Linked DNA regions of Schizosaccharomyces pombe. The protein of the gene in region 2 purifies or fractionates together with the protein of the main gene of each other region. This does not show direct contact. Each region holds a gene or a part of one and is shown on either strand. Other genes may lie near its edges.

Region 1 (16,055 bases), on a different chromosome or scaffold from region 2:
ATTATCTGGAATTTTTTTTTACTCGCACTTAGATTCTCCGCGTTTTATACGCATATACTAACAAGGAAAGGAATTTAGCTAATCGATAGATTCTGGACCTTTCCTTCTTTGAAACACATTTTCCCCCGTTGAATTGGTTTTGTTTACATTCAAATAAGGTAAAAGCACTCTTCCAATTGAAGACTATAGAGCTCTAATTCGATCGTTTTCTTTGAAATTTTTAAAAATTACTATCATATGAGCGATGTATTCTTTAAAAGATTTGTGCATCCAAGTCGCGCAGAAGCATGTGCACGACATCGATGATATTGGCGATTGCCCATTCGAACTCGTAAAACCTATCCTGGAAAAAGCTAGACCAGAACATTTAATAGACTTGGAAGAAAAGTCGCCTCATTTGAAAGTTGACACTCAACCATTGTGGAAAGATCACGTTTTGCGTGATTTTGGATTAGAACTTCAAAAACGAACTATATTGAACAATATTGATGATTGGAGAGGGCTCTACGGAAAACTTAAGAAAAAAAGAAATGCTCATTATAACGTTGCTTCTGCTAAGCTTCGAAGTGCTTACACCAAGCTAGAGCAAAGTAAACAAAACAAGCGAATTGTTCCTTTAGAGCGTGAGCCTAGAGCTGCTCGGCCTCCTAAGCGTCCGCGTCCCATGAGTAATTATTGTCCAAAAAGTTCTCTAATGGCGAGAGCTAAAAGTGATTTTCTCAAAAAGGCTCTGCTACCCGTCATATTGTTTCAGCTACTTCATCCTCTCGGAGCTTTCCCCAATTGCATCCCCTTGGACGTTCTTCTTCTAACGCTACTAATACTTCTACAAAGCGTCCTTTAACCTCTAATACCTATCCGTCCATTCCTCTTCCTCCAAAGTCTTTCACCTCTCAGAATTTTAAATCGTTCAACGCCGTCAAAACTCAACCTTCATCTTCCTCCTCTCCATCAATCTCTCGCCCTACGTCTTTTCCCATGTCCTTTTTTCCAAATCCTTCGAGGTTTTCTAGTCAAGTTCCTAAACGAATTTAATGAGTTAACTTTTTCCTTTCTCTTTCTTTTTTTGTTTACTAGTCTGTATATTCTTTTTTTTTCTGCTATTGATTTCCTTGGTCCGCCTTATTTTCTCCTCTTCTCCCCTTCCTCCTCTTTACTTTTTAATTGATTGGGTTTGTTCTCTTTATTTTTTGGGTGTTGGTTGATGATTTGCATGCTTTCCAGGTTTCTTGTCCATTACCGTGTTATGACTTACTTAGCTATAATTAATTTACTGTTTTAATCTTATTTAACACTTCATGTCTTTTACTGTATAAAATGTAGTTAACTTCGTTTACATATTTTATCCAGATTCATAGATAAAAGAATTTGATTTTATTTATCCTCGCCAGCTATATTATTATTATTTAAGTCTATGCTATTCCATTAAGTTTTTATAGTCATGGTTGGCTGTTGAGATAGACAGAATTTCTTATATTGTGAAATTGTTCCATCAAACTTGGAGACGACATTATGGTCACACTGCCAAATACTGGTACATGTCTTGTCCAAGAAATCAACATCGTGAGAAACAAGAATCACACCACCTTGGAAGCGTTTAACAGCTCTTGTCAAGGCATCCATGGACTCCATATCCAGATGGTTGGTGGGTTCATCTAGAATAAGAATGTGAGGGTTTTGTAGACCTAGGCATGCGAACGCAACACGAGATTTCTGACCACCAGAAAGCGTGATCATTTTTTGCAATGCAAGAGGTCCACTAACACCAAAAGCGCCAAGATGACGACGGTATTCTTCTTCACCTTTGCCAGGAAATGTCTTAGCTAAAAAGCTTAAGGCATTCAAGTTTAAGTCCAAAGTATCGACATGATGTTGTGCAAAGTATGCAATACGAAGTCGGGGGTGCCGACTAACTATACCAGATGTTGGATGAAGTTGTTCGATAAGAAGCTTAAGCATTGTTGATTTACCAGCACCGTTGGGACCAACCACACCGATACGAGAATCCATTTGAACATCAATATCAACATGTTTGAGAATAGGGTGACCTGGAACATACTCAAAATTGACATCAGACATTTGTAAGATAGGAGGAGATATTTTTTCCACAGGTGGAAATTCAAACTCAACTTCTTCCTCAGTTTGAGGCTTTTCAAGGATCGGCAGTTTTTCCAACTTCTTAATACGACTTTGTGCTTCGGATGATTTGGCAGCATTATAACGAAATTTGTCAATGAATGATTGCAAATGTTTGCGGTATTCCATTTGCTTTTCATATTCACGAAGTTGATTTTTGCAACGTTCTTCACGAGTAGCATAGAATTGACTAAAATTACCCTTATAGTAATCCAAGCGCTCAGAGTGTTGATGAATAATATCAGTAGCAACTTCATTCAAGAAAGAACGATCGTGTGAAACGACTAAAACGATATTTTTATAAGTTTGTAAATATTCAGATAAGAAAGCAATTGAGGGAACGTCAAGCATGTTCGAAGGTTCATCCAAAAGTAGTAAATCTGGTTGACAAAACAGAGCACGTGCCAATGACAAACGCATACGCCAACCACCTGAAAAAGTCTTGGTAGCATGGCTTTGCATTTCTTGAGTAAATCCAAGACCAGCTAAAATAGTAGCAGCGCGTGATTCTGCTCTATCAGAGTCCATCTCGGAAAGCTTATTTTGAATATCTAACAACCGTAAATCAAGTTCGTCTCGTTCACGCTCAAGGCGACGGGAAATAGCTTGATCAGCAGTTTGGTCTTTACTAAGTTCTTCCAATTCTTTTTCAATCGTTGATAGACGATTAGTTATCTTTTCCTGGTCCTGAATCAAATACTTGCGCCAAACATCGGCATCCAAAACTGACTGTAGGGCAGGTGTATCATCACCTGTCATTTCTTGCTCAACATGAAGAATGGTAATATGGGTAGGAATCGCAATTTCACGGCGAGAAAGAGCACGTAGAAGAGTAGATTTACCGATACCGTTGCGACCAGTTAAACCGTATCGTCTACCCTGTGCAAGTGTCAACGAAGCACCAGTCAATATACGATGACCAGCAAAAGCAAGATCAATTCCATCAATTTTAATATCTTTCGATTTTCCTTGGTTACTTCCGGATAAATCTAGAGGATTTACAGCCATGTAAAACTCTTCATAAGACTTTTGTTCGGGTTGAACCAACTTTGAAGATTCGTATTCTGCTTTGATAGTACGTTTCTCCCATTTGGCACGAATCTTCCGTTCAGCCTTCTCTAATTTTCTTCTATCTACCCTAGATTCAACCTTACGGCCCTTTACAGCATCTAATTCCATCTTTTCGCCAACCAAACCCATAGTTGACGAAATTTCGGATTGGGAATCCATTCGAATAGTCTCCTTCAAACGAACAAGTCCATTCGTTTGTAATGTATCTAGATGTTCCTCTCTTTCTTTAAATTGTTTCTCTAGTTCGTTTTGTATGAGCTGTACCGCTTCCTCACGAGCGCCAGCATCTAGCAATAAATTACGAATGAGAGAGATCGTATGGTCTGAAGCCTCATCTACATCTTTAATAGCATCATTAGCATATCCAGTGCAGTAGCTGAGGACATGAGGGTCTACTTCAGAGCAATTATTCTGAATGACTTGCTCCATGTTGGATGTGAGGTGGATAGTACTAAGCAAGTTATACTACTGCTATATATGAAGCCTCAATCGGCAAAACGATGAGACTAGGCATGAAAATATACTAAATACCTTATAATAGTGAATTATATATTTTTTTAAGAAAAAAAATTACAATTCCAAGAAAACTACTGTGAACTTTACTGATATTTTTAATGACCCACAGTAGACATCAAATTTTATCAAGCTAATCCTTATTGTTGAATAAAAGCAATTGTATTGAGTTGATATAAATTGAAAAAAAAAATCCAAATGTGAACTCAATAGAAATACTTTGCAAAGAGAAAAACATCTCAACTCAATGAAAGTGGTTTTCTATCAATCAAGGCAACAACTGTTTCGTGCCGTAATCGAAGAGACGACTAAGCATTGAATTCAGCTATGTTCAAAGACATTTAGAAAGCAGAAAAAGGATACGTTAACCTAGAATATAAATCATAGTGAGACGGGAGTTATAGAGATACATCCACGTTCGTGGTCAATCAAAAGAAGGATCAGACAAAGGCATGAAATAGATATAAAATCAAATCTCAACGACGTAGATGAAAATGTAAATTCATAATCGGAAAATAAAAGGCAAAATTTAATCAAAGTTAATTACCAAACATCTTCCAATTGAGCATAGGAAAAGCAGTGAATAAATTTAATGTTCTTTTTCATTCTCATACTGAAGGAAAAGTTAGCTGATGCAATGTAAAGGAAGAGATACATACTGATTCAAGAAAGTCAAATTTGTTGCTTTCTCCAGCAGCCTTAGTGGGAATGGTTTCTCCCTCATACTTGTAAGAGTTTAAAGCAGAAGTAAAGTCAACATCGTATTTTGGAGCAGTAGGAGCGCTAGGCATGGACCATTCCTTTACTTCAGCTGCCGTTTCGGAAGGGACAGCTTTAGGCTTATATGATTCTAAGACACGACGTGTAAGAAATTGGTAAATTAAGAGAATATAATAACATACTTAAAGAAGAAATATATAAACCCTGTACTACATCGACTAAATTGCCATTAGTAATCTCATCAAAATCAAAATGTCATTTCATACCGTAAAGACGAGGGGAGGTGGTCGAATAACTACGACTTAGTGATTTCTATATATTAGCTCCTAAATTCTTAAAAAAAGCAATGTATAACGTACCAAAATTCGAGACATTGTTCTTCCTTCACAATATATGTGGATGGTAGTGGTAACTCACTTAGGTAGCATGTATTGAGTAAGAAAGCCAGCATTGTCCGAAAGTACATTAAACATACTAAATCTAATAGCTAAAGTTTTAAATGCCCAAATAAACAATCGCTGAAATAGAAGGACTATTAGTCTCAAAAATTTCATCCAATTTACACCTCTACCAAAAATCTACAAAACAAAATTCAACTATACAAGAAAAAAAAGCGTAGGTACATACAGATATTGAAAGAGTTGGATTAACCAAAACAGGACGTAAAAAGCAAAACAAAACAAAAAAAAACAGGGAAAAGAGGAAAAGAAAATATACTTTCAGATTGAAACGGTTAACTCGTGAAATGTATAACAAGTTCAGTGGAATTACTGTCAAACTAACAGCAGCACATGATATGAAAAGTGATGAGAGGGGAGTTTTTGAAGGTAAAAATGCTTTTAATAAAAAATAAATAGCATCAAAAAAATTGTAAAAGTATTCCATGGGACTTTAAATATATACGACAAAACCAGTTCTAAAATGTGATTAAACTTCAACCGCAAGTCGAATGCAAGTTAAAATATGTATAGAAATGCATTCCGACGGGTTATCGACTCAATGGACAACAAAGACTTCGTAAAACTAGAATAAAACTATTTGCTTAATACTTTAGTTTCCCGAAATAATTCAAAAAGCGTAAAATTGCAAGAATTTATAAGAGCGCTTCGCATCAATGAAATACCTATACCTCGATATATAGTAAACGATAACCAAGGAATGGAAGACAAAGGGGTTTTAATTGATAAGAGTGTATTTCTTTGTACAATGGATTTGGCTGTATCCACCGGGAATACCAAAATCCAAGACAAAGCGCCGCAAAAAGCACCAGAGAAGGCATAAGCAAAATGCGGCTTCACATCATTCGCTATCAGATTTTTCTTAAAGGTTTCGTATATTGTAAAATAACAAGCCGATCCTAGAGCGTCTCTGGTTAGATGATAACGATACCCATTCCATAATGCAGTAAATCCATACCTCCGAACAATGTCAGAAGCGCTCTGGAAAGATGACAAGGGAGGTCTGACACTTAGCTTGGAATTTGTCTCTTGCCGACGGCCCATATTTGTTTTGCGAAGAAGCATGTCAATTTGTGAATATAACTTTGAATACTCGAATGGACAAGCAAAAAGTGATATAAAAGTACCAGTCCCAAGCCCGGAAATGAAATACCGAAGTGTAGGATCCACATGAGCAAATGTAAGTTTTAAGGAATCATACACCGTAAATGATACTGACCTCGATAGAGTGGCTGATATCAATGGTAGAGTAAGACCACGATACAAACCTTTTAATCCCTCGTTTTTAACAGCGTTTTGGAAACAAGAGCGAATGGTTGGGAAATTGTAAGTTTGCTGTCGAACTTTAATCGAGTCAAGAGGATACCCAATAACATTGCTAATGGCAGAAGAAACCAGAGCAGCGGAAAAGGTAGATGCGGGAGAGCCCGAGTGTGCTTTATGGGGCTGGTTATGAACTGGTAAACCCATTTTTTGATCAATCCTTCAGAAATAAAATAGAGAGAAATGAGAGAAGAAAATAAAGATCAATATTCTAGCAAAAATAGATTTTTCGACTTATCTAAACAAATGAAGTAATCGAAATCCTCTTTCTTTATGTAAGTACGTATATGTACGTCTAAATTGTATGTATAGTCTAAAGTATTCAGAAGTTCACCACCCATGTAAGATGAACTACTAAAAAAAAACTTGTTTTTTATATTTTGAAACTCGAAAAAAAGTAAAATCGTCAATAATTATGATCAATTTCAGAGAAAAACCAAAAAAGAGACAGTAACAGCACAACACTCACAGGATTGTGCAATTAATATCTTCAAATAGAGTTTAATACGCACTCACAAGATACAGTGTATCCCTTACATATGTGATCTTCTATTTTAGAAAAAATAAACAACACCTTCTATTTACAAATCTAACTTCTGCTTTTCCTTCACAAGGATATAAGCTAGAGGGTTAGTAGGAATAGTGTGTAGTAAGGATATCGGTACGGGATGGTGATGGGACAAAACCCTAACCTAATACTACAGTATCTCAAAAAGCCGTCACTGTTGTGCCTTCTTGAAAATACATAGCAAAGGTAGGTTGCGCAAAGCACCAAACAAACAATGCCTTCTGCTCCTCGTAAGCAATCCAAGACTTACAAGGTTCCTCGTCGTCCCTTCGAGTCGGCCCGTCTAGATGCCGAGCTCAAGCTTGCTGGTGAATATGGTTTGAGAAATAAGCATGAAATTTGGCGTGTAGCACTTACCCTTTCTAAAATCCGTCGTGCTGCTCGTGAGCTTTTGACCCTTGACGAGAAGGATCCTAAGCGTCTTTTCGAGGGAAATGCCATCATTCGTCGTCTTGTTCGTTTGGGCATTTTGGATGAGTCCCGTATGAAGCTTGATTATGTGTTGGCTCTCCGTATCGAGGACTTTTTGGAGCGTCGTTTGCAAACTCAAGTCTTTAAGCTTGGTTTGGCTAAGTCCATCCATCATGCACGTGTGTTGATCTTCCAACGTCACATCCGTGTTGGTAAGCAAATTGTCAATGTTCCTTCCTTCGTTGTCCGTTTGGATGCCCAAAAGCATATCGACTTTGCTCTTTCCTCTCCATATGGTGGTGGTCGCCCTGGTCGCTGCAAGAGAAAGCGTCTCCGCTCTCAACAAGAGGGTGGTGAAGGTGAAGAAGCCGAAGAGGAGTAATTCTTTTCTTTGACTAGTAAAAATGAATCCTAATCTCTGAGTAGAAAATGAAATTCCTTTCTTGTGTATTTCACTAGTATATGTAGCTTATAATCTCAATGCATATGGTAACTGTTCTTTGTCGTACATTTTTTTTGAAGTCTACATCTTCGTATTAAATTAGCGCACTAAAGCCTTGTAGCGTTTTATAGATTTTTGAAGAATCCAATGCTTCGTAAAAATTGTGAAGACAGATAAACTGACTTAGGAGACAAAAAAAAAAGAATACGAAGATACTAAAGGTATAGTCGTATTGGATGAAATTGTAGTACTTAATTTTTGCTGCTTAAAGTTTTTGATATTTTTCGTTAATTAATATATAGACAAATAGAGGCAATTTTCTAAAGGCACGTGAATTAGAAATATATCTTGTAGGCCGCTTTCAAAAAAAAAAGGAACCATCAACTGAACAATGTATATTGCCAAAGAAATGTGAATTTTACCTTCTTGTGTGAATAGCCACAAATACTAATTTAACGTAAACTTAACTGCTAAAATACACTGTAAAAATTGTATCTAGATGATAACATTAAATTTAAACAACCGGCAAACTAGCGCTTCGCATCTTACTTAGAGTATTCATGATAACAACTTGCTTCCCACCGATCTGGTATGCAATACCGGTACTCCAAAGCATAAGTAAAAGGGTGTCGTGTGTAATAGGAAATCAGCTTCTATTGACGTTGAGAAACACTACATGCCTTTTATCGATGGTTCGTTTGGAAGAAACATAGCCCAACTGTAAAGCAAATTTTTACATTTCTGCCTAATATCATAAAGTTCGTCATTCTCTAAATGCTCCAAAAAAGCAATTCTCTTCAGGACCTTTGCCAATTTAGTAGAAGTAATCAATTCGTAGTTCAGGAACGGGATATCACTTATTGCGTTTAGATATTTACTGGCGTTATAAAAATCTTCTTCAACTATCAAATGATCCGGCGAAAGAAATGCTTTTTGTAGCTTATGGCGAAAAAAAAGTAGTCGCTGCATTAGTGCTTTCGTCTGGTCATTCAAAGGTGAGGAAGGAGATATACGGCCCCTCTCTTGCGGGTTTTTTAAAGGTTGCTTTCCTTTTCCTTTTGCTTCTCCCCTATGATCAAAATTACTTGAAAGTGGGTACCTTTGGTCACTTAACTGCGTAGAGCTACGAGAAGTCGAAGCGACAGTAGGACCATACATTTCAGAAATAGAAGTTATTGACATCAAGGATCCGCTGGAGATACTCTCCGCATCTGATTCATCAAGAGATGTCTCCCAATGATATTTTCTTTTTTGCAAAAAATTAGGCTTCTCCTCAGCAGCTGATAAGCTATCCATTTCCTCATCGGTGGAAGATTCCTCCTTTAAATCAGGAGGAGTTTTTGAAGCCTCATAAGCTTCAATAAGTTCTTTAGACTTCCGCTTTGAGGAACCAAGAAATTTGGCTATTTCGGAATCCAATAATGGCTTAACACTATTTCTTTTCACCCATGCAAAATTGAAGTCAGGAAAAAACAAAACCTTATATAAGACATTAAATGAGCTATTAGTATTCAAACTATCCTTAGTTTCTTTTCGTCTCAGTAGCAAGGCCGGCCACCATGGATAACCTGGGGCTTTTACCAAAATTCGGTCACCAAAATTTAGCCTGTCATCTGCAGAAGCTTGTTCCAAATTATCCTTGCTTTCTTCAACAACACTGGGTATATTACTCTCTTTTCCTTCGGATATGCTTAATCCCCCTTGTTTAGAAGATAATCTTCGTCTTTTTGCATTAGTGCGGGCATTATTCATTATAGAAAACCACTTTCCTTATTCTAAATGAAAGGAGATTAGCCTCATGTATTACTTTTAATGTTTAACCACTCCCGTTTAATGGGCATGTGGGCAGTAGTCAGCAACCACTGTCAATCTTTCTTAAAAGTATAAGGATAAAGACAAGTCAATCAAAACTAATAACGAGATTAATTTTACTTTACTAGAAATCCTATAGTATGCTTGCTTTGGGGGTCAGCTATACTTAGTAATAATATTGTTTAAGACACCAGTAATAAAGGATGTATATAATAAATTGAAAATGACATTAATCAGCTATTCTTCTATGTAAAAATAACACCTGTCGCAAAACTGGTCTTAGCGGCTTGATAAGATCAGTCAATGACTGAAATTGGTATATTAGCTGTTCGAAGCATGGATGATATTTGAAAGAGGGTTTCAAACCATCTCTCATTCCAAGACAAAAAAGCCTGATGTGTCAATATTGCTGAAGTCTCGAGACCGACACGTACCATTTGACTTCTGCAGAGGACAAGAAACGCCTACTCGTATATCCTAATATTTCGGCCAACTTTTTCCAAATTTTTCTTCCAATAACATTCAAAAGATCTAAGGTTAATTAATGACTTTTCTAGTTAAAATAAGTACTCACCCGTTATGAACATTCTTTGGGGAATAAATATATCCTTCATCCTTTTTAAGTATGCTTGTGCTCTCATACACATAGAGTATCCTAGCCTATATATATTGCAGCAAGAATTGAATTTTGAATTGTGGGTAATGTCAATAAATACTTGTGCAAAGGATGCAAGGCTCGATCTGATTATTTGTCAGCTATTATTCAGTTACACAGTATACCTTAGAATTTTGTAAAAAAAAGATTTCCCCATATGTTTCGTCAGCTCTACAGATGTAGAGTTAAATAAGGCTTCATCAATTTTAGGACATGCTAACAATGTATCAAGAGACCTCATGTTCACAGAGAAACCGAAGAATGGCATTCTTTTCTTGCTTTCATTAAAAAAAGTATTGTTTATTATCCCATTACTATTTTCAAAGTTTATTACTGTTTTCTCCAGGCTCGTAGAAAAATTGTGTTTCTCAAATCCTTCAACGGTTAGAACTTAGGAATGACAGCAACTCACCTCTTAAAGATAAATTCAAAAATTTTTTTGCATCCTTTTTATTAACTGTTATAAAGAGGAAATCGTCGACTACTCGTAACAACACTGATCCTTTCTTTTTCGTAAACGATAGGTATTCATCAATCAAATCTTCCATATAGAAATGACACAAAAAAGATGACAGAATTGAGCCCTGAGGGATACCAACTTTTTGAAGGTATTGAGAATTTCCTATCTAGTTTCATTAGTGTTATTACAATTCAACAATTGGTATACCTTAACAATGTGTCCAGAGAGATGTTCCTTGAGCATTTTAAAAATTTCAGAAGAACTTTTGGTCCAATAATCCACAAAATCAACAAACAAAGTATCTGATGTTTTCATAGAAAGTAACTGCACGACTTTTTCAAAAGGCACCATATCAACTAAAAAAGAATTTGTTAAAAAATTCCAATGAAAAAATAAACTTACAATAGGAAAACGCCTCACTAACAAAGTTTTTTGTAGCTCGGTCACTTGTTGCATGTATGGTTGCATACTTTCGAATTACAAATTCGGGATCCTTGAGTTTCTTTTTAACAATCCGAAACATCAAATCTTGCTTTATTCGATCATAACAGGATTTTATATCTATCCGTACAAAATACTTCTTACGCCTGCAAAATTAATAATGAGGAATCGCGCATTATATAATTACCCAAACATTCGGTGCTTAAGAAGATCCTTCTTAAAAGTAAGAAGCTTCATGTAAACCTCCAAGTTAAATGGAATACCACTACTTTCTTCATTGATTAAATGTTTCAGTATCGATGCCACAGGTCGTAAAGTTTGGTTCGTACTGACTAACATTTTTTTGTTTGAACCCATCTGCTAATAATAGATTAGAAGTAAAGTACATTGATGACCAAAAATTAATACCTTTATTAAGAATCTTTTTCTTAAATTCGTAATGAGACGAAAGGTATTCTTCTTAGGTAATAGACGAATAACTGCTGGAGGCAAAGTAGTTTTCTGAGTATCCATCCTAACATTGTTCTGAAAATATTAGCTTTTTGCAAAAAATACTTTAAAATACCTCGTTTATTTTTTCAAACGCTTCCATTTTCATTGATGTAATAAAGGGTCGGCACAAGAGTTTCCAAATATCTTTTCTAAAATAAACAGTTCGATTTCGTAAATCACTTGATTCAGTGATATAAAAAAAAGATTGTAAAATAGGTATTATAAACGAATTGTATAGCCAGTAGATGAATTCCGCAAATATTTGCTTGCGTTTCTCAAAATCACTTAAGCACATTTTCGCATTTGACCTTTTTCCAAGGACTAGCCATTCAATTTCTGAAATCTGATTGTTAATTAATGGTAAAAAAATTTGGCATATTACCTTTATGTTACTCATTAAATAATGTAAACTAAAAGACTCGTATCTCGATAATTTCAAGAAAGTTTCGAGGTCTGGTAAAATCGTTAGTGGTAATAAATTTTATACAATACCTTTTAATATTATCTCAAATATCCTTTGGTTACCCCAGATTAATTTAGGAAACACTCGAACAAGAATGGATCGAAGAAACGCAAACACCTGGTTCGGCTTTAAGGAATAACTAAGGATTTTTTCATCATCGTGGGTGTCAATATATGGGCAATAATGGTTGTAAACTTTTGATAGAGAAATACGATGGAGTCGCTTTGCTGTTTGTTCAATTAAAGGGTATACCTTTAGGAGACGTTTGGGCACAACTGTACTCTGTGATACCAGTGGAATCACTTTGTGCAATTGCTTCACTTGAAATGCGTTTATAAGTCCAAATTGCCTTGGAAAAATCCATTGAAGCCACATGTGTACTGTGTTCCGATCACAAATAGAGTGTAAGTTAAAATATAGATCTAAAATTAGTTATGAAGGATAACAGTATTAGTTACCTTGCTTAAACTTCTTATAGGATGACCTGTAAAAAATGCTAAACCTACTAATTGAAATGCTATTCCAGGAAACTTCTTTGCGGGCGCTTTTATTTTGAGTAATGGATGTTTCAATGGTTCGCTTTCTTTTTTTTGACACAGTTTCCTCAAACACATTATTTTTAAAAAGTGGTATGCCAGAAATCTGAAGGTAATTGTCATTTGGAAGAGCCTCAAAAATACTTCCTTTGGATAATAAGTAATGCATGGCATCACTGCCGATACTATACTTGTCAGTCTTGTTCAAAGTGCGCAACATCTTAACCGGTATTTACATTTCTAACAAAAGTTGCCAATTTTTTGACTCAAGTATAGATATAAGGTAATTAGGAAAAGTAGAAACGAGATCATTTTGTACTCCGTTTACATGCATGGCTCGAAAATCTTCATGATTCTTTATCGGTTAAATACAATCTCTTTGAAACAGTAATTGCAGGTAAATATTTCACAATTAGAATACCTTACCATGGAAAACCCTTTCATCAGTAGATTCCTTCGACGCTCAAAACTTTCATCGAACATCTGTTTTACAACATTCGCTATTAGCTGCCCATATATTAGCTATCCCGAATAGAAAAAAATCAAAACAAAAATATATATACCTCTGACTGTGAGCATTTTGGAGAAGAAAATTGAACACCTTCATCTGGCTTACTGTCGAAGCCGACTACAGTCGAATGAAGAAAAATAGAAAAGGACGTTTGTACATCGCTTCTCAAGCGTTCGCATATATTGCTATACGAGCTTGCCGGCGACCCTCTCAAAACAAGTTGTACATAATCATTTAAGGTACATAGGTATACATATTGATTCTCTAGAAAGCGAAGAATCCTGCTTTTGGGGGTATGGTGTTCGGTCATGCAAGTTACAAGTAACCATTAAGCATAACTATATATATGCAAAGTGTCCTACTGATCATAACGTTTTAAATAAATAGTGACCGCAAATATTGATTAATATTTATAATTATAGGATTTTTTTTATATAATGATAGCTAATAAATGTTTTGCAAAGTATCTTTAAACTAATAACATTACACGAGTAGAATCACCAATCTTTCTACTACTATCAATTATAAGCGAAACTAATTTAGATTATTCATTAGGGGGAATAGTGAAAAAGGTACGATTCCAGGAGTAAAACGGAAAAAAGCCTAATACGAGATGATACATATTTGGAACAACATGAGAATAGAAAATAGAAAAATAAAACCGCGTTAAAGGAGTTGTAGTGGATAGAAATTTTTGAATATCTCAATCATGCTAGACGTGTGCAAGCATCAAAAAACTTTCGCGGATTACCACCACTAAGGACATGATTTTGCAAATAATTATCAACCTTTTCAAGGCAAACGTTGGATGATACCAAATACTCCATCATGCGACGTGACTCATCTAAAGTGTAAGGCTCCATGTTAAGAATATGCACGGACTGTAATGAATCTAATATAGTCTCATCAGAAGATTTGTAAGGATTTCTGTGAGCTACTCCAAGAGCTATATCCAATGACGGGGTAGAAACACGCGGTTGGCTAGAAGTAGCAGCTAAAACAGTACCACGATTAAAAGTAAGCGAACCCGAAATATATTTGAAAAGTAAATTAATAAAGTAAAAGTCTTTAGGGGGAAGGAAGTTGTTCTTTTTGTCCTTATACTTGGTAACGACCGATAAAATAGAAATATTATCGATCACTAATAACACCTTCATATTGGAATTTGACTTGGTATTGTTATTGAGTTCTTGTAAAAATATTTCCAGAGATTTAGGAGCGTTCGAGGAAGCAATTAGCTTATGAAGAAAGGAAAGTAAATCGGTACCAGCAGGAATGCATTCGTTCTGAAGCAACTCATGACTTTCAAAGGTCTTTAGCTTCTTAAGTTTATCAGAATTAGTTTTCATAACAGAAGTTAGAAATCCCTTAATTAAATCTGGTTGCACCCACAACTTGAGTTGCTCATCATAACCATAACTACTCGTTGAATTTACCCATCCTTCGCAGTTATGGACTGGCAAGACTATAAAATTAGGTTGTGATAAGGCGAAAAGTTCAGCTTGTATGAGAGCAATACTTCTTCCTGAACCTGGAGCACCATCAAGAAGAAAACGTCCGTCCTTCGTACCCTGGTCTTTGGAGCGCTGCAGTACATTCACTAATTCAGTTGTAATTTTCCTGTGCAAAAGGGAAGCACTGGTAAAAAAGGAGAAACTTTTTTTTTGTTTTTCTAAAGCCCCAAATCCATTAAGTTTATTAAGCAATTCCTCGGGGATTTTAAACATCTTACCTTCAGACTTGCTGGACCAAGACATATGCGGATGAATTTCAGAGGGCTTCACCTCTTCTAAAGTATTTTCTCCTTCATTTAAGAGATGATCCAATACAACGCTACTATTGGGAATAGTCGTCGATTTCTCTACTGACGAAGTTGAGGGGGGAATTTCATTAATTCTTGGCGCTTCCGAATTTTTTTGACGCTGCTGGTTAGAGCTTGAATGTATATTTCCTCCAACAGGTCTACCCGTATGCTGGTATTGTGAGGATGAATAGTATTTGTTAAATGTGCATTTTTCAAAAGTGTAGAGTCCTCCCAGTTTACTACCGCAAACAGTCAGTTTTCCACCGGACAGGATATTAGAAATTCTCTCTGTATTCTTAATAATACTACTTCTGCTTCTAAACTTCGGTAGCATTTTGTTAGAGGTATTTTTTTCTCGTAAATCTTAAGTATACATATCTGTTCTCACGTAAATGAAGAGACTGACTGCTTCCGGATGGTAAGTATTTACTGAGCTCTTAGCGCATTGCTAATATTTTTTAATAGGGTAGATTTGGCGTTCAGTAATAAAGAGAACTAACGTATTGCTAATAAGTGTCTCTACTTTTGCAAAAACTAAAGAATCGTAAAAGTTTTCTTACTTTCTTCGTTTGTCATAAAGAAAGTAAAAACAGTAGATTGCTGAACTGAAAGAGAGCTTTTTCTCTTATATATTCAGTAGTTTGATAAAAATTTTGGAGTTTGAAAGAAGAATTTCGTATCCTGAACCAACTTTTTAACAAATCAATTTTGCAGTCTTTTTTGAGAACTTTTTGTCACTTAATTGTATTATCAACCCTTTTTTTTTCCTTGTCCCTATTTCGTTAATCATGTCTGCACAAATAGAAAACTCCATTCCTCTAGATTTCGATTTGGGAAATATGGCTGCATTTGATATTTCTCCCTTAGATGAAACTAAGCTTAGCGGTTCAGAGAAAGAATCATTCCTTTTTTCTCTCAGTAGAGATAACGTTCAACAATTGGTGAACAAAATGATTTCCTTGCCTAAGGAGCGTACATCAGATGGCGTCCTTTTACAGCTTCCTGAAACTGTTACACCTCTTCCTCGTGCTAAACCTTTACCTAAACCCAAGCCCGAAACCAAATGGCAACGGTTTGCTCGTATTAAAGGTATTGCTCCTAAGAAGCGGGAAGGCAGGTTGGTGTTTGATGAAGCATCTGGTGAATGGGTACCAAAATGGGGTTATAAGGGTAAAAATAAGGAATTAGAGACACAATGGCTTGTTGAAGAGGGAGAAAAGGAAAAGAAGCTTACTTCCA
Region 2 (15,392 bases):
CAATATTCCAGCTACTAGACCGAGGTTTGAAACTGCCTCTGAAAAATTTACCATTGGGATTGAAACTACTGTCTTAGAAAGCTGAAAAGTATCCAAATATTGCCCACCTTTTTCAGCATAAAAATTCAGCTGCTTTGAGCGTAAAACGACAAAACGTCTTCGAATAGATGAATCTTCCAATCTATACAAGTATCCCTCATTATATAGATAGTTACTTCTAACGTGTCGCAAGTCCATCGTAGCTTGTTCTAAGGTAAATGGCAATTCCTGCTCTGGAACCGAAAGCTCAGGAATATACAAACAAGTCAAAGTTAGATTACCAAGTGTACGTTTCCCTATAGAGTTTATTTTTACAGGAATCGCTTCCAAGAAGCCTCTGGAAATGATGGGTATTTCTACGTTGAAAGCCTTTCCAAAACAACTGTCTTTGACATTACCCAAATTTAACGTAGCAGTACCCGAGACTTTCTTGATAACCACTGACTTCTTAGCCTTTGAATTCTCAACTGCAGCAGCCTTGTTGAGTTTTCTCTTTTTGCGTCGGTTGAAAAGCTTGTCAAAAAATTTCCTAGCTTTGGATTTCGTTTCAGCAGGCTTACCGTTTGAAACGTCTTTTGTAGCAGATACTCCTTTCGAACCGTTGGACTTGTCCTCAATAGGGATGTCAAGAAACATAAAACTCACTTTAAAGTTATCGTCAACATGAAAAGCAAAATCATGGTCCAACCTATTATTCCCATTAACAGCTTGCCAAGGAAGCTGCATATTTTGCGTAGGCGTATTAACTATTATCTTGATAGGTGAATGGACTTCACTTATCGAAATATTCAAAATGCTGTTCAAATGTATATAAAAGCGACCAAGTGGCAAGGGCGCCTTTGGTTTCTCTTCAAAAAATGTTTCATTCACAAATCCAAGAGAAGTAACAGGACGTGGTGATTGATTTTCAGTACCATTCGGGACTTCGTAAGACGTACTCTTATCCTGACTTGGAAGATCAAGGCGATTCAAATCAAAGGAATGTGCACGACTTAAAAGTTCGCTATCTCTGGCTACAGGCGTAGACTGCCTAAGTTCATCAATGCTGGCGGATATCTCGGCACTAGGGTCGTAAAAACCTACTGTACCAGTTTCCGAATAATTCCATCCTTCGACGTTATGGGACTCAGAACTGACTAAACTTTGGCTAGACTTGTTTGGCTCATTTTCACAATAATTACTATAAGTACGCTTCGTTCCTGGTACGGGTTGCATTGATGGGTGACGTAAATCTTCAGAGCTTAAAATAGCACTCAAATTGTCAATGGTAGAACTGCTTTTTATACGACCACGTTGACTAGATATACTATATCCCACGGAAGCAGAAGTTAGATTGTATCTGGGGACTTCATGATACGTTACAGATCCATGACCATAGGCGGCCTGAGATTTCGGAATTGAAGTGGCACTAATATCCTCATCCATATTTTCCTGTTGTAAAGAATCATTGATAATAGTAGAAATCTCAGGTTCTGAATTACGGGAAGATTGAAGGTATAACTCATCATAGTCTTTACCGTTGGTGGGAAGGGAAAGCTCAGAGAAATCATAAACTTTCCTAAGTGTACTAGCATAGGAAGATCCACTGGAAATCCGTTTTGCTTCCATCTTGGCCAAAACCTTTTTACGAAGACTTTCTGTAGAGATATCTGAGTCGTCTAAGGTGGCCTCTGGGACTGAAGAAAAAGGCTCTGAAGTATCTTCAACAGGGGCTTCCTGAATGGGAGCTAAAGGTTCTAAAGGTTTATAATCCATATCGAGAGACGCCGTCGTTTCGACCCTTTCCAACGCTGGATTGTCCTCTGTGGTATCTTTGGGAAGACTAGGAAGAATCCTTGGACCTACAGTAGAAGATGCAGATAGATGTGCTGGAGGTACGGGCTTGACATCAGATGGTATGCGAGCCAAGTTGGGAACGCTTCCAGCTCTTGCTCGGGCTGGGTTTGTAGACAGTTCATTATGGGATTGATATGGATGTTGAACAGTGTATTCCAACGGAGACATTGTCTTAGCTCGACTAAATTCTGCTACTTCTACCGCCCTCTTGCGAGACGATTTGGAGCGGTCAAAGGATAATTCAGCTAAATTTTGATCCGGATTAAATGTTTCATAATCTGCAACAATATCAGCACCTTTCAAAGACGCAGTAGAAGAACTTGTCGAGTTCATAGTTCCTGCCGAGTACGTCAAACTAGGAATGCGACCTTCTTCCTCGGAATTAATCCTCTTAAACACTGATGTACTACTCATTCTTTTACGATTATCAGGACTATGTTGAGAAGAAAAAGATGAATCGAGGTGCCCATAGCCATGCATATACATGCTTCTTAAATCAAGTGACTCTAAAAGATCTGTCGCAACGTTTAGTTCCGAAAGGTTTCCAAGGGACATATCGCCATCTCCATGTGTAAAGTTTTTTGTTTGATCATATCCCGAGGTTTCATTACTGTTACCCTCAAAAAAAAGGGGTGTTTTTTCTCGATTTGGAGAAGAAAGAAAACTGTTTTCTAAGCCTTTAGAGTCAAGAGACACATCTTTTGCTTCTCTATATGAGAACTCTTGCTCTTTCATCGTCAGGATAGCTTAATTAGACTTTACAGACTATAATACCTTATCGAGTGTTAAAATGTGGACACAGTATCATATAAGCACCCTGAAGTACAACAAAAGACGAGCCTTCTTCTTTATAGCAAATATTAATTCAAATTCTATTAAAATTGATGCTAAAAGCACGAAAACCTCTTATAATTTATTGAAATCCTTCTTCACCTCAGTCATGTGGAGTAGGCATAGGTCACACAAAATCGGTAGACGCTATGATAAGTGGTAGTCCCAGTGAGAACACTGATTATATGGTTAAACAATTCAAACTCTGGATATACCATAAATCGAAGATTAAAGCCAAGTTTCCTTTTTAAAATTAACAAAAAAAGGCTAGTTGCATTGCAAATATGAATTATAGCTGGGACATACTTGCAAAGATAATATTGTATTATCAGTATGCTTATGAATAGCGATGAATAAAGTCATTAGTATGTAAAATAAAATAAGTAAAATCATATTTTGTTGTCTGCTATTTTCGCAGAAACTAAAAAAAAATACATAAAATGAATCTGTTGATAAACAGCTTTTAATTTACAAATACACGAGCAGTTAAAACCTAAAACTAACTATCGGGGCGTAACATTTACTTAAAGCTAAAACCCATACTTTTGAGAAGATGCCTTTTTGTTTGATCGTTGCTGCTCAAAATAAGCTTCAAAGTTGTCTTTTTGACTGATAGCCATTTCAACAAGAGAAGACAGTTGATGACGACCAGGTGCAACACTTTTAATAGTAGGGGCGCTTGGCAATGCTTCTTGGGTCGGTTTTGGAAGTTTGTTGATATCAACGTCTATAATTCGTCCCTTCTCTTTTCGGTGGCGTCCAATTTCAATGTAATCTTCATTGATAATGTTTATGTCCTCTGCATTTGAATGTACTGAGTGATTAGCAATAGAAATGAAATCGTTCTCGGGTTGATTCCTCAATTTCGGAGGATTTGCTCTAGCTTTAGGTTTTATCAAAATTGGTTGGTAAGGTTTCTGATCGGAATCTACTAAAGAGGCTTGCTTTGACTCTGATCCTACGATATTAAATAACGAAACGTTACCAGACTTTTCTGAATACGTTGATTTCTTGACAGTTTCGGAGGATCCAGTAGAGGTTAAATCGCTTACAGAGTTATTAGGTAATAAATAGTTTTCATTTAAATCAAGGTCCGATCTTTTAGATGACTTTGGAGCTAATTCAGCTTGATTTTTTGGGGCAGGCAAAAGTTCAAGTAAATCATTAGATTTAAATCGTTCATTAGAGATAACATCAGATTCATTAAAAGTTTTATCATTAAAAGAAGATTTCTGTAAATCAACTTGCCGTTTCAGGCGTTTAGGTGACTTTTTAGTGCTGTCAACCGACAATTTTCTGCGCGCATGCTGAAACAAAGTAGGATCGAAACTTTTAGAAGCTAATGGTGTTTCTTCTTCAATATCGCTTTCGGATTCTGATCGAGGATATGAAACCAGAGACATATTTTATTAACTTTTGATATTAAGTCGTTTAATAATTCTGAGCGAGCGATTTGTACTCGGTAACTATTCTCACTGCGAACAGAATTATTTATGGCAATTAATATACTCGCATCTGCAAGATGATTTACATATTTATTCAAACTTAAATTAATTCTTTAAGTAAGTCTTAAAAAGAAATAATATTTAATTGAATGCTACCGCCCAACGTTGCTAGCTAGCATATGTGGTATTTTATATATTAATCACCCAAAAAGATTCCAAATTACCATTAATTTAATTTACTTTTATAAGCTTCATAAATATGAGAGTTTAAAGCACTGCAATTTTCGTAAACTTAATTTTTAGGATAGGCCAAAACATGGCCAAATCTTGAAGACTGGAAAAAGTACCGACTCGAATACTTTTATCAATCAACTGTTAGTAGTCGTAACCATGGTATCATAAACCGAACATATCTCTTCAAATATATCAATTTATGACAAACCACAATACATATTTAAATAATCATTAACTTGTCCGTATCAACTTTTAAGCCTCATCAAACTGACGATTAGCAAGTTCAACTAAATGGTCCCAATTGACATGCAATGAGCACCAAGTTTCTACTCCAGCAATAATTAGAATTGCAGCTCCAATTCCAATCCATAAACCGTACAGCCCCCAATCTAGCTTGAAGCAAAGGATTATGGCAACAGGCAAACCCAATAAATAATATGCGATGAAATTTACTACCCCACCAATCCTTTGTCTTCCTTGTCCCCGAAGAAGGCCTCCAGCTACACATTGTGTATTATCGGCAATATTAATGAGTGCAACAAGGGGAATGATAGTTGCAACCAATGCGACGACATCTTTATCAGACGTAAAAATGTAAGTCCATGTGTTGCGAGTTAAAAAAAGGATTACAGCAATGATAACACCAATTGCAGCACCTAAATTGATAGAAACGTGCGTAGCTAGCTTAGCGAGTTTCGTATTTCCAGCACCAATTAAATTTCCTACTCTTGTGGCAGCTGCAGCAGCGACACCGAAAGCCAAATTATAAGAAAGGGTCGAGGTAGTAGACAAAACAGACATAGAGGCTAATTCAGTGGTACCCAACACGCCCGATGCGAAAGTAACGAGTTCAAAAGCCCAGTACTCACTGCAAATCATAATTACACCAGGAACAGCCAATCGACATAACGGGCCCCAATTTTTTAATGCTTCTCTACTAAAACCTCCCCATGCTTGTCGTCCGTTTACCTTCATAATATAGATAATTAGAACAGCACAAGCACTCCATAGCGTTAATGCTACAGCGACCGGTGCACCTAGAAAACCGAAACCAACCCAGGGACTCCACACAAAAAGGTAATTAAGAAAAATATTAATAGGTACAACAATTGCTAAAATGTATGTTACAGGATGAAATATACCTTGCACCTGAAGGAAACGTTTTAGTGCTTCAAATAATGCGTATGCCGGACTAGCCAACATCATTACTCGCATATACTTTGCCGCAAACATACAAGTAAGAGGATCCTGTCTAAGGAATAAAAGTATGCCCTCTATTTTCCACCATATCAAGAAAATAGGGAATTGTATCAACAACAATATGGCCAGAATCCTCTGTAAATGTAAACCCACCATTTCGTAATTTCCAGATCCGAAACTTTGAGTTCCAACGGTATCCAAAGCAGATACAATCCCCTGATAAATAGCAAAAGCCGTAATTGTGGCAGTCATGTTAGACAGACTTGCAGCCGCAAGCTCTGTTTTACCCAAGTGGCCCAAAGAGAAAACAGTAGTAACCACCTCACCATACTGAAGTAAAGACGTTAATACAACAGGGGTTGCGAATTTAATAAGTAATGTTAATTCTTTCCACCATGCCTTGCTATTAAAGTCTTCTTGTACTGAAAGGCCACTCGCAATAGATTCGTTTTCTTCTGTTTCCTCTAAAGCGCCATATGATACATCAGTCGCAGGTCTTTGTACCCTAGGTGTAGGCTTTCTTAAGGAAGTAGTGGGTCTTTCTTGTGGAATAGGTGAAACTTCCGAAGCTGCGGTGTCAAGAAATTGGGGTCTTGACAAACCGTAAACAAGACTCGATCTTCTTCGTTTAGGCTTATAAGATCCTAATAAAGGATCATTTTCCCCTTCCATTATGGATATGTCTGATAAAGTTAAAGGAAAAGGGGGTCAAGTTTAAAAAACTTGTGGATGCTAGTAAAGTTTGTGAGGCCAACCGGGCACAGCTTATATAGTGACATATTACACAACCAAAATTTCCCTCAGTTATAAAAACGTAGTATATTAAAACAAGTCAATACATTGAACGTTAATTTATTGAATTTAAAAGCATTCAAATATTTAGTTAATAGAGGTGGTGAATCCCATGAAAAAATCAACAATAGATTGAATTAGCGAACGGAATGATTCAAATGTACATTGTTCACCTTCGGATATACCCTGAATAGTGCAAGATTTTAGTTTTTTTTTTTTAAATAAATGCTTTAAAGTCCAACTAACAATGACCTAAATTAACCAAAATTTCCAATCTTAATATAAATAGTCTAGTCAACTAACTTTGATAATCAACAGCTTTTTTGTGTCGCAGAGACATACTATGCGAGCTGGTAACTAAGTTCCTTTTTGTATTAATTTCCTTTTCTTTCTCTAGTTTCAATTCACGATTAACTTTATGTCTACAAGGCCAAGGTAATGAAAAGAGTTTAGAATGTCTAATACATTTCGGACAAAATGCACTCGAATTTTGAATGTCTTCATTAATAAATGTCTGGCTACAGTTTGAGCATTGGTAAACCTTTCTTTTTCCATGTCTTTTTTTCCATAGATCTTCACGAAATTTTCGATAATCATCCACATTCAGTAACGGACTATGGTTCGTTATGGCCATCTCAGACAAAAGCCTTTTTTCTCGAGACCACACCCTTTTTTTGTGCCTTGGTATAAATAGTGAAAACTCCTCATCCAAATCAGAACTGGACGCATCACTCAGTTCACCACCTGAATCCCAAATATTCAAGAAGCTACGATCTTCCTCGGAAATCACGTAACGATTTGACTGCGGCAAAGAAGACAGATCGGAAACATCAGAACTACTCTTGGAAGAACAACTTGTTGAAGTAGCACTAGTATGGAAAAGCTTTTTAAAACCATTGATGCCCATTCGTTCACATGAGACACAAAGGCATTCACAATTTTCAAGGCCAAAGTAATTAGAAGAATAAAAGGTAGTAATTTCTTCACCTGGTTTTATGTCTCTTACACAGCGCAGCCAAATGCGCTTACCAGAAGTGTTAAATCGACAGTTAGCATTGCAGTCATGATTAACGAATCGTGCAGGGCCCAAAAATAGACACATCGAATCTAAGCGGCTTGAATGAAGGATGCTAAAGTCTTTTCCAATTCCTATATTCCGCTCTTCTTTAGGAGATAACTTAATAATTGTTCCACAGAGGTCTGTAATATCTTCTCCAGCATTAATTGATTCACGCGCTATTACGCAAGCTTCAGGCTTTGAGGAAGAAAAGTATTGGTTTGTTGAACAAATTTCAAATTTGCATGATGGTAGATATAATGAGAGGTAGTACTTCAGATGTCGAGTAAATGCTAGTAAAGAAGTGCTTGACAATCTCCGCAACAATGGATCAAGTTCACGAAATTGCAGAATATTTTTTGCCGCTTGGTCAAGGTCTGTTTGCTCTATAATATATTTGGTTATAATATTTATAATAGAACAGCTTTCCATTCGCTCAATTGATCGATCCACTAATTTTCGTACTTTATGAATTTGGGACCAATAAAACACCTTGTCAACTAGCAAACAAGTACAAACATCGTCAAAAAGAGAAAACGTTTCAAGATGAGTATTCGTCTGGCGCATTATGCATTTTCATAGGCGTTAGGCAGGTATCAAAATGTCATGAAACATTCAATGTTAAAAGTACCTTTCCAGTTGAACAACGATGAGTAATCTTGATGTATAAATTATAGGTTTATATGAGTTTGCTCAGAAAATAAAGGTTAGGAACTCGATAGTTTATCCAAATATGTAATATATTTCTGCGTTGGCAAATACAAAAATGTTTTTGAACACAACAATTCAACACAATCACTTATTAGGAAATCGACTAATTAGCGAAATTTAATTATTCTCGTTTTAAATAAAAGAATCCACGAAAGTCTGAACGTTGTAATTAAATATACACCAAGCTCGGACGGTCCCCTTAAAAGTTTTCACAGTTTTCTAGTTATTATATCTTTGTAAGTTATACTAATAAAGAGCGACTTTGCTTCGAATGAAATCCACCTAGACAAATGGGTCGTAGAAATAGCAGTAGGTTGGACCGGGACTGATGAAGTTAACTAAACTATACTAGCAACCCAATAGGCGAATGCAGATACAAAAAACTTCCTAAATCCCGTTTTATCATTATTGAGATACCAGTTTAATTTACTTCCTTCTAATATTCAAGTTTAAATATGAAGTTAGCCATCGGTAGGCTTTTAAGCCCATTATTTTTGAAAAATCCTCAGAAACCCTTGATCATTACTAAACGATTTTATTCGACACCCGGAGAACGAAGGATAAAGGACATACTCACTGAGAAGCTTTCACCTAGTTCTTTGAGAGTTATCGACGTTTCTGGAGGATGTGGCAGCATGTATCAAGTTGCAATTAAAAGCAAAGCCTTCCAAGGGAAGAACACTTTGGCGCAGCACCGTCTAGTCAATTCTATCCTCAAAGAAGAAATCAGAAATATGCACGGACTGAATTTGTCTACCGAAGTCGAAGACGATATATCTGCCGGCGGATCGACTACAAGTTCATGAGATTTGTTTACAAAGACCTCTCTGCCGCTACGATTTTACTGTTTAAGAACATAGTTGTCTGACATTTATTTTCAAATTAGATATGAAGCTCACGGCTTTTATTTATTTCAACGTTTTCCTAAAAACCTTGGCTTCTCGTTCATACAATGTAACATAAAACTTTCCTTTTTTGTTCTCAGTTAATACATCTGTTATTTTCGAATATTATTATATTATGCCTTCGATATGATTTTTGCGCTATAGACTTCTAAGTGTGTTTTCTAGAATTTAATATTCAAAAGGTAACGGCCGGGGAAAACATTGATGTGTATTTGGAGAAAAAAAACTTTTTCCGCAAGTCGTTGAGTCCGTAATTACCATTCCTGCTAATGTTGCTATCTTTACTACACTTAATGTGAGTCAACATTCTCTTCCGAAATTAAATTTCCAAAAGATAGACTCCTTTCGACTAATGTATAAAACATATTGATTTTAATGTTGATCCGTCGATGGAAAATTTCTCAACAGTCACTGATCTCTGAAACGTTCTCATTCTCACTCATAATACAACGCTATTTTTCAAACAAGTTACAGATATCGGCTTCTTTTTAGATGATTTATTCAACAAACCAATGCAACACCATATGGCTAATTCTTTTCTGAACCTTTCGGTTTGCGAAGTCATCAATCTCGACCAGCCTCGGATTTTTTGGTCAGCGATTTTAGCATGATAACTTTAAAATTGTTAAAATGACTTTCTTAGAAAATTATGATATAGGCGCATCGCTTTTTATCGCCTAACGGATCGGAATTATTTCTCGCACCGGCGATTTGAACTAGCTGAAGAATTTGCCAAACATAAGCGGAAAAACTCGATTTGGTACCAAACTTCACATTTTCAAATCGCCCGGTTAGTTAGTTTGGCCATCTTGCGAGTATATAAAGTTATCAAATCATGTCGCAATTTCAAGACTTGTATCACCAGAACGCACTACCACCTGGCAGACACATATTTTGTGCAGCTATTTCAAACTACTAGTAACTTTTACTATACATACTCTGCAACACAAATCAATTAATTAGCTAATGAATTCGCATTTCCAACTTCAACTCTTACTACTATAGTCGCAATTGTTCTTTTCTTGAGTTTCGTAAATACGGATTACGAGATTCATAAATAGGATCAGTAAGTGAAAGCTGACCTAACATCAGTCATTTGTTATTTTCACCATTAATCAACGCCTCGAAAGGGGTTATTTTTTTCGAATTGGAGTTGGAATTCTCTGTGGATGCTCAAAGCACCTGCTCTTTAACTTATTTTTACATTTAATACCATAATACGAGAACCTCTGATTTCCTTTGGGAATATCCCCAAGATTTACCTTCCCTGTCAAACCGCCAAATCCTTGCTGAGCATCAAAAATTCCCGCCTTATTAGACTAGAAAATTATCCTAGAGCTTCTTGTTTCAATTCACATTTACTTACTTACTCATCAGCCAGTTGGTTATATTTTCCTTCTCTTACAACTATTTCGTTCAGAATTTTGGTCTATTCTCATTTTCTACCCTTCTTCTTTTCTTTTTTGCATCCTATTTATTCTATTAATTTGAAATGCCTCTAAAAAGTATGTCTTCTTACTTCCTTTGAATTTGTATAGTGTGCTAATTTAATTTACAAAAGATTATACAAAGACTACGTCTAAAAAAGAACCTAAACAATTAGATATTGCTGCTTCTGATCAACAAATTGAGCAGTGGAGTGATCAGATCCACAAATTAGATAAAGCGATTCGTTCTACAATCGATAACTCTCGACTCTTCTATGATGCTTGGAGATGCATGGTTTGTATAGCTCCCTCCGTCACTGCCTCTTGGATTTCTTTGTACAGACAGTTACCTCCTGAAAAACAACCTGCTGCTTCTGTCGGAACATTGGTCGATTGGAACAAGGCCTTGGAACGTCAACGTCGTGAAGTCTTGCTTGCCCTGCAAAATTTCCATGTCATAGTTATTGCTCCTTGCAAGGAGGTCAAAGGCTATGTAAAGAAGGCAGTTGAAATGATTAAAAGAAGAGATAAAAAAGTAAAAGAACTTGAAAAAATTCAAAAAGAATTATTGGTTGTTTACGAATTGCCTGATCCTGAAACCAAAAAAAGTAAAATTAAAGCATTACAAAGCCAGCTTGTCCGTGTCAATGGTGAATTGGATGACCTTCAGAAGCATTTAACTTTGTCCTTCCCAACTCTTATTGCAAAAAGTCGTGTTTTTTTTGGACAACTTATGAAGCATTTTTACTGCTTGCAACTTCAAATGTTTCGAAAAATGCACAACATTGTTCGCCCTTGGGATTGTTTTCAAGACGATATTCCCCAAACGTGGCTCGTTGAGTTTTCCTCAGTTTGCCAGGCTGCTGAAAGCATTTCCTTAATTGCCGTAAACAACAACCGTCCTCCCGTAGAACTTCCAAAATCTGGTGATGTTTTATCAAATAGAGAGTGGGAAGCTGGAAAAATTGATGCCATGAATTCTCTCATCGCTCAGAATTTGCATACTTCAGCGTCTCAGGTAAGCCTTTCGCCTATGGCTAGTACCGCTAGCTCTTCTGTTACAAATTCTCCCGTTGACACACATACTCCTTCAACTCCAATTATGTCGCGTCCTCCATCCATGAAAGCCCTTTCTTCTGGTGTAGAGTCCCAAGATGAATCGGTTGCTAGTAGTAATTTTCAAGTTCCAATTATATCGAATCCGCTTTTTAAATCCCCTGCACCTTATTCACCAACATCCGTTATCTCCAATCATTCCTCCACCGGTAAATCCCTGGTGATTTCTGAATGGGCATACCTTGCCTCAGGAAGTGCGAATGTGGTGTTTGAGTATGTTGGTAAAAATCCTTACTTTCAAGACAAGGTAATTCGTCTTCGACGTCGAGGACAGGTTTTTACTACAGAACAAGTTTATGAATACTATCAAAATGTAATTTATCCTTTGTTTGCTGGAATGGAAAGCTTTTTAATTGAGGTTTTTTTGCAGCCAGTTACTAGGGATTTTTTGCTGGCGGCCCAAAATGCTTCTGGTATTTATTTAAATTTAAATGAGCAATACTGTTTGGTAATGAAAGATCTCAAAGATGGAATTGAAATGAAACCAAAATGGTTGACTCAGTCCCCTGCCGCTCCACCTGACTGGGTTGTTTGTCGAACGTGTGCCCTTAGCCGTATGCGTGGTAGACCCGTTGGTTTTTGTCCTCTACAGCTTGATTTCAACAATTGGCCCAAGTTTTTGTGCTGTCTTCAAGGATTTGTGAGTCCTGATATCGCAATGAGATTGTTTCAGTCTGGTATACTACGGAAGCTTCGTGACCTACAAGAGCAATACTCTCGTACTGATGTTGCGTTAGCGATGACCCTTCGAGATGTGACTTTATACATTGGTAAAGATCACATAACATTACTAGATTTAGATCCTAAAGACATGAATACCAAAATGTCTAAATGGGAACGTGATGAAAGGAATTTGATTGAAGGCGGTTGGTACTATGGTCGTGGGATGAAGTCTACTGACAAAGCATGCCGGAGCAGCATAAAGTAATTATCTCATTGTTAATTTTTTTTCTAATATGTAATACCACCATCAATTTGTGGATTTATTGCAATATTTCAATACATTATGCATTTTTGTTTTATTTGTTATATGCCTGATAATTAACAGGGAGATAAAAGCATAAAAATAAAGGGTTAGATTTATTTGTTCTCTTCAACTAACTGTTGAACACTTAATAATTCTAGAGCATTTTTTACTACGAGGTTAGTTTATTTTCTAATTATTACTAATGAAAAATTAATAAGATCCATTGAACATATTTTAGATATTTGATGAATGATCACCTAAAAGTTGTAGTTACTATACTTAACTTGCCAACCCCCATCTCACTTGCACCTTACTTCACCTCAAGTATAATTTTAAAATACAGCATGTTTCGCATCGCATCACGCCAAACAAGAAATCTGTAAGATTGTAATTATTTTTAATTAACAAATTTATACTAACTTTAAAAGACGTGCTTTATCTTCCAGTAAGAACTGGGCAAGATCGTTGGTAAACACGCGATCATTTCGAGCTGCCGCATCTGTACAAAACAATAATGCCCAAATTGGGGAAATGGTTGACAAAATAAGCTCTCTATCATTGTTAGAGACGTCTGAACTTGTAAAGCAATTAAAGGAGAAGTTAAACATTGCTGAAATAGCTCCGATGGCAGCAGTGGCTCCAGCAGTAGCTTCAGCCGCTCCTTCTGAAGAGAAAGCTCCTGAGGAAAAGAAAGAGGAAAAAACCACCTGGAATTTGAAACTCGAATCGTTTGATGCTGGTTCGAAAGCCAAGGTGATCAAAGAGGTGAAGTCTCTTTTGGGATTATCTCTTGTGGACGCAAAGAAATTCGTTGAAAGTGCTCCAAAGGTTTTGAAAGAAAATATTTTGAAAGAGGATGCTGAAGCTATAAAATCGAAGTTAGAGAAACTTTCTTGTAAAGTAGTCCTCGAATAAACTGGGTTGTTTATAAAAAATTTCATTTCTATGCTTTTCCGCCATTCAAATTCTTTGGGCAACCTTTTTGTTATTGCTTTGACATTGTGACACGATTTACTTTCTTGGATTCCCATAAAAACTAAGCTACGGAGGGAAAATTCATCATCTCTAAAAAAACCAGATATTAGGTAATGTATAAAATACTCCAAAATTATTAGTTAATTATATGTTTTTATTCTATTTGGGTTACACTCTATGTTTTCGCTCTTCGGTTCAGGAAGTTGCATGAAGACATTCATTAAACTTTTCGTATTCATCCTTTAGGGATTCCAAATCGCTTTCAGTAATTCCTTGGGTAGTGTTCCATGCAATTTCCGCTTCTAACTCTGGTTCTGAAATAGCCCAAATGTTTTCACGCATTCTTTTGTGTCGCTCTCTGTCTTCTTCAATCCTCTTAAGAATGTCGTTTTTTGAAATGGCTCCTGAAGTACTGGTATCACCTGACTTGCTCGCTTGTTCATGGGCTTCTACCGTAGCCATAGCATCTTTATATTGATTATCATCGATTACCTTCTTTTCATGCAAAGACTGGAGTACTTTTCTAACCTCTGGAGCGTTAGCAGCTCCAGCAGCTCCTATAGGAGCTACGTTCTGGACTAGCTTACAGATATCTCTACTAATCATATTAAGATATCCACCTGTAAGGCCATTTTTTAAGCACATCTCACAGAGTGTGTCCACAAAGTACATGATATTCACTCTTGTATTGAACGAACCTGACTCTAGTTCCTCCCATATACATGAATATAAGTCTTCTTCCAAGTCTAGATGCTTAATTGCAAATTGCGCGGGTTTAATTTGAGAGAATTGCGATGCATTCAATTTTCCCAAAAGCTGTAGAAATGTCATGCGGCCCTCAAATGGATCCATTTTATTATTGCAAGTATATTGGTAATTGCGAGTGCAACAACGATTTTTGTTATGATGGTTTTTCTTATACTTCGTGAACTTTGAATTCCAAAAACATCAAGAATAATTTTTTAAATAATAATAATGTGTGTTGTCTTAAATTTCAAATATAGAATAAACTTCCTTTGCCAAGTGTTCATCTATTCTTGAAGCTGCAATCTCTGAAATTTGAGACTAAAAAAAGCGTTGGGATACTATTTTGCGAAAGGACGTTGAACCTTTCCAGATTCAAATAAATTAAAATATACTCAGTGCATAAGTAATATTAAGAGGTCTTCAAACTGTTAGCATGTTGCAAAATCTGTTGCTTTAAGTAGCATGTTACTTTATTTCAAACACTATTACTGTACCTTTAAAGAAACTAAAATCTCATTTTATTAAATACTACTTTTTTAGTAATTTCAACAGCGAAATAGTAAATTTTCAAAGATATTTTTATATAGCCCTGATAAAGTTATAACCATTCACCAAACTGTTAGGATCTCTGAGTATAAATAGCGGGAAAGAATAACTACTATACTTTAATAAAAGCACAAAAACCGACCTTACTTATATGGTAAAATGAAACCCATGAATCAGTAAACAATTTTTATTTTTTTATACGCTCTACTAAGTCGTACATACAAAATCAACATTTCCTTTCAATAAAGAACTGCTTTGAAATCTAAAATGGCCAGCGACAAACTTATAAGGTTTGCCTAAAAAGTAAATATAATGGAGAAAAATACTCTCGAAAAGAGAAAAAAAATGCAGGATGTATTGTTCAAGGAGAAAAATATAACAACGGGATAATGATATAATGGAAATACACCCGTCAAGTTGCAAGTAAAAGCGATCCTAAGCAGAATAAGCTTCTACAAACTCAACATAATCAGGACTTAACTCAACACCTGATCCTTGAGCCTCCTTGATAGCATTGCAAGCTTCCTTCAAGTAATTATCCTGACTAGCCTCGTCTTGAACAAT

Evidence for each region.
Region 1: the proteins of set9 (region 2) and pdp1 purify together in Schizosaccharomyces pombe (affinity purification with western blotting; one study listed by BioGRID). This does not show direct contact.

What each region holds. Positions count from the first base shown.
Region 1 is NC_003423.3:2,052,789-2,068,843, forward strand, and holds pdp1 (PWWP domain protein Pdp1), read right to left. Parts: upstream 9,497-16,055; 5' UTR 9,395-9,496; coding exon 8,315-9,394; 3' UTR 7,583-8,314; coding exon of another isoform or gene 7,004-7,582; 3' UTR 6,847-7,003; downstream 1-6,846. Other genes in the region: AAA family ATPase Gcn20, read right to left, coding at 1,426-3,636; atp14 (F1-ATPase subunit H), read right to left, coding at 4,310-4,333, 4,380-4,570, 4,623-4,658, 4,707-4,752, 4,800-4,814; ort1 (carboxylic acid transporter), read right to left, coding at 5,475-6,368; rps902 (40S ribosomal protein uS4), read left to right, coding at 7,004-7,582; telomerase reverse transcriptase 1 protein Trt1, read right to left, coding at 9,684-9,846, 9,889-9,985, 10,029-10,195, 10,235-10,484, 10,522-10,735, 10,777-10,925, 10,972-11,156, 11,198-11,367 and 8 more; rsm23 (mitochondrial 37S ribosomal protein mS29), read right to left, coding at 13,720-15,150; ribosome biogenesis protein Rrs1, read left to right, coding at 15,605-16,055. UniProt on the Schizosaccharomyces pombe protein: Necessary for DNA damage checkpoint activation. Required for the association of set9 with chromatin and subsequent methylation of H4K20. Associates with H4K20me1 to increase the concentration of set9 on chromatin to perform H4K20me3.
Region 2 is NC_003421.2:1,147,606-1,162,997, forward strand, and holds set9 (histone lysine H4-K20 methyltransferase Set9), read right to left. Parts: upstream 8,457-15,392; 5' UTR 8,002-8,456; coding exon 6,676-8,001; 3' UTR 6,309-6,675; downstream 1-6,308. Other genes in the region: anillin-related medial ring protein Mid1, read right to left, coding at 1-2,610; protein Cwf20, read right to left, coding at 3,237-4,109; SPOM_SPCC4B3.13 (MatE family transporter), read right to left, coding at 4,638-6,257; protein fra3, read left to right, coding at 8,601-8,951; ipk1 (inositol 1,3,4,5,6-pentakisphosphate (IP5) kinase), read left to right, coding at 10,543-10,555, 10,612-12,521; mrpl12 (mitochondrial 54S ribosomal protein bL12m), read left to right, coding at 12,905-12,939, 12,989-13,475; Lsk1 complex gamma subunit lsg1, read right to left, coding at 13,731-14,387; protein Nro1, read right to left, coding at 15,264-15,392. UniProt on the Schizosaccharomyces pombe protein: Histone methyltransferase that specifically trimethylates 'Lys-20' of histone H4 to form H4K20me3.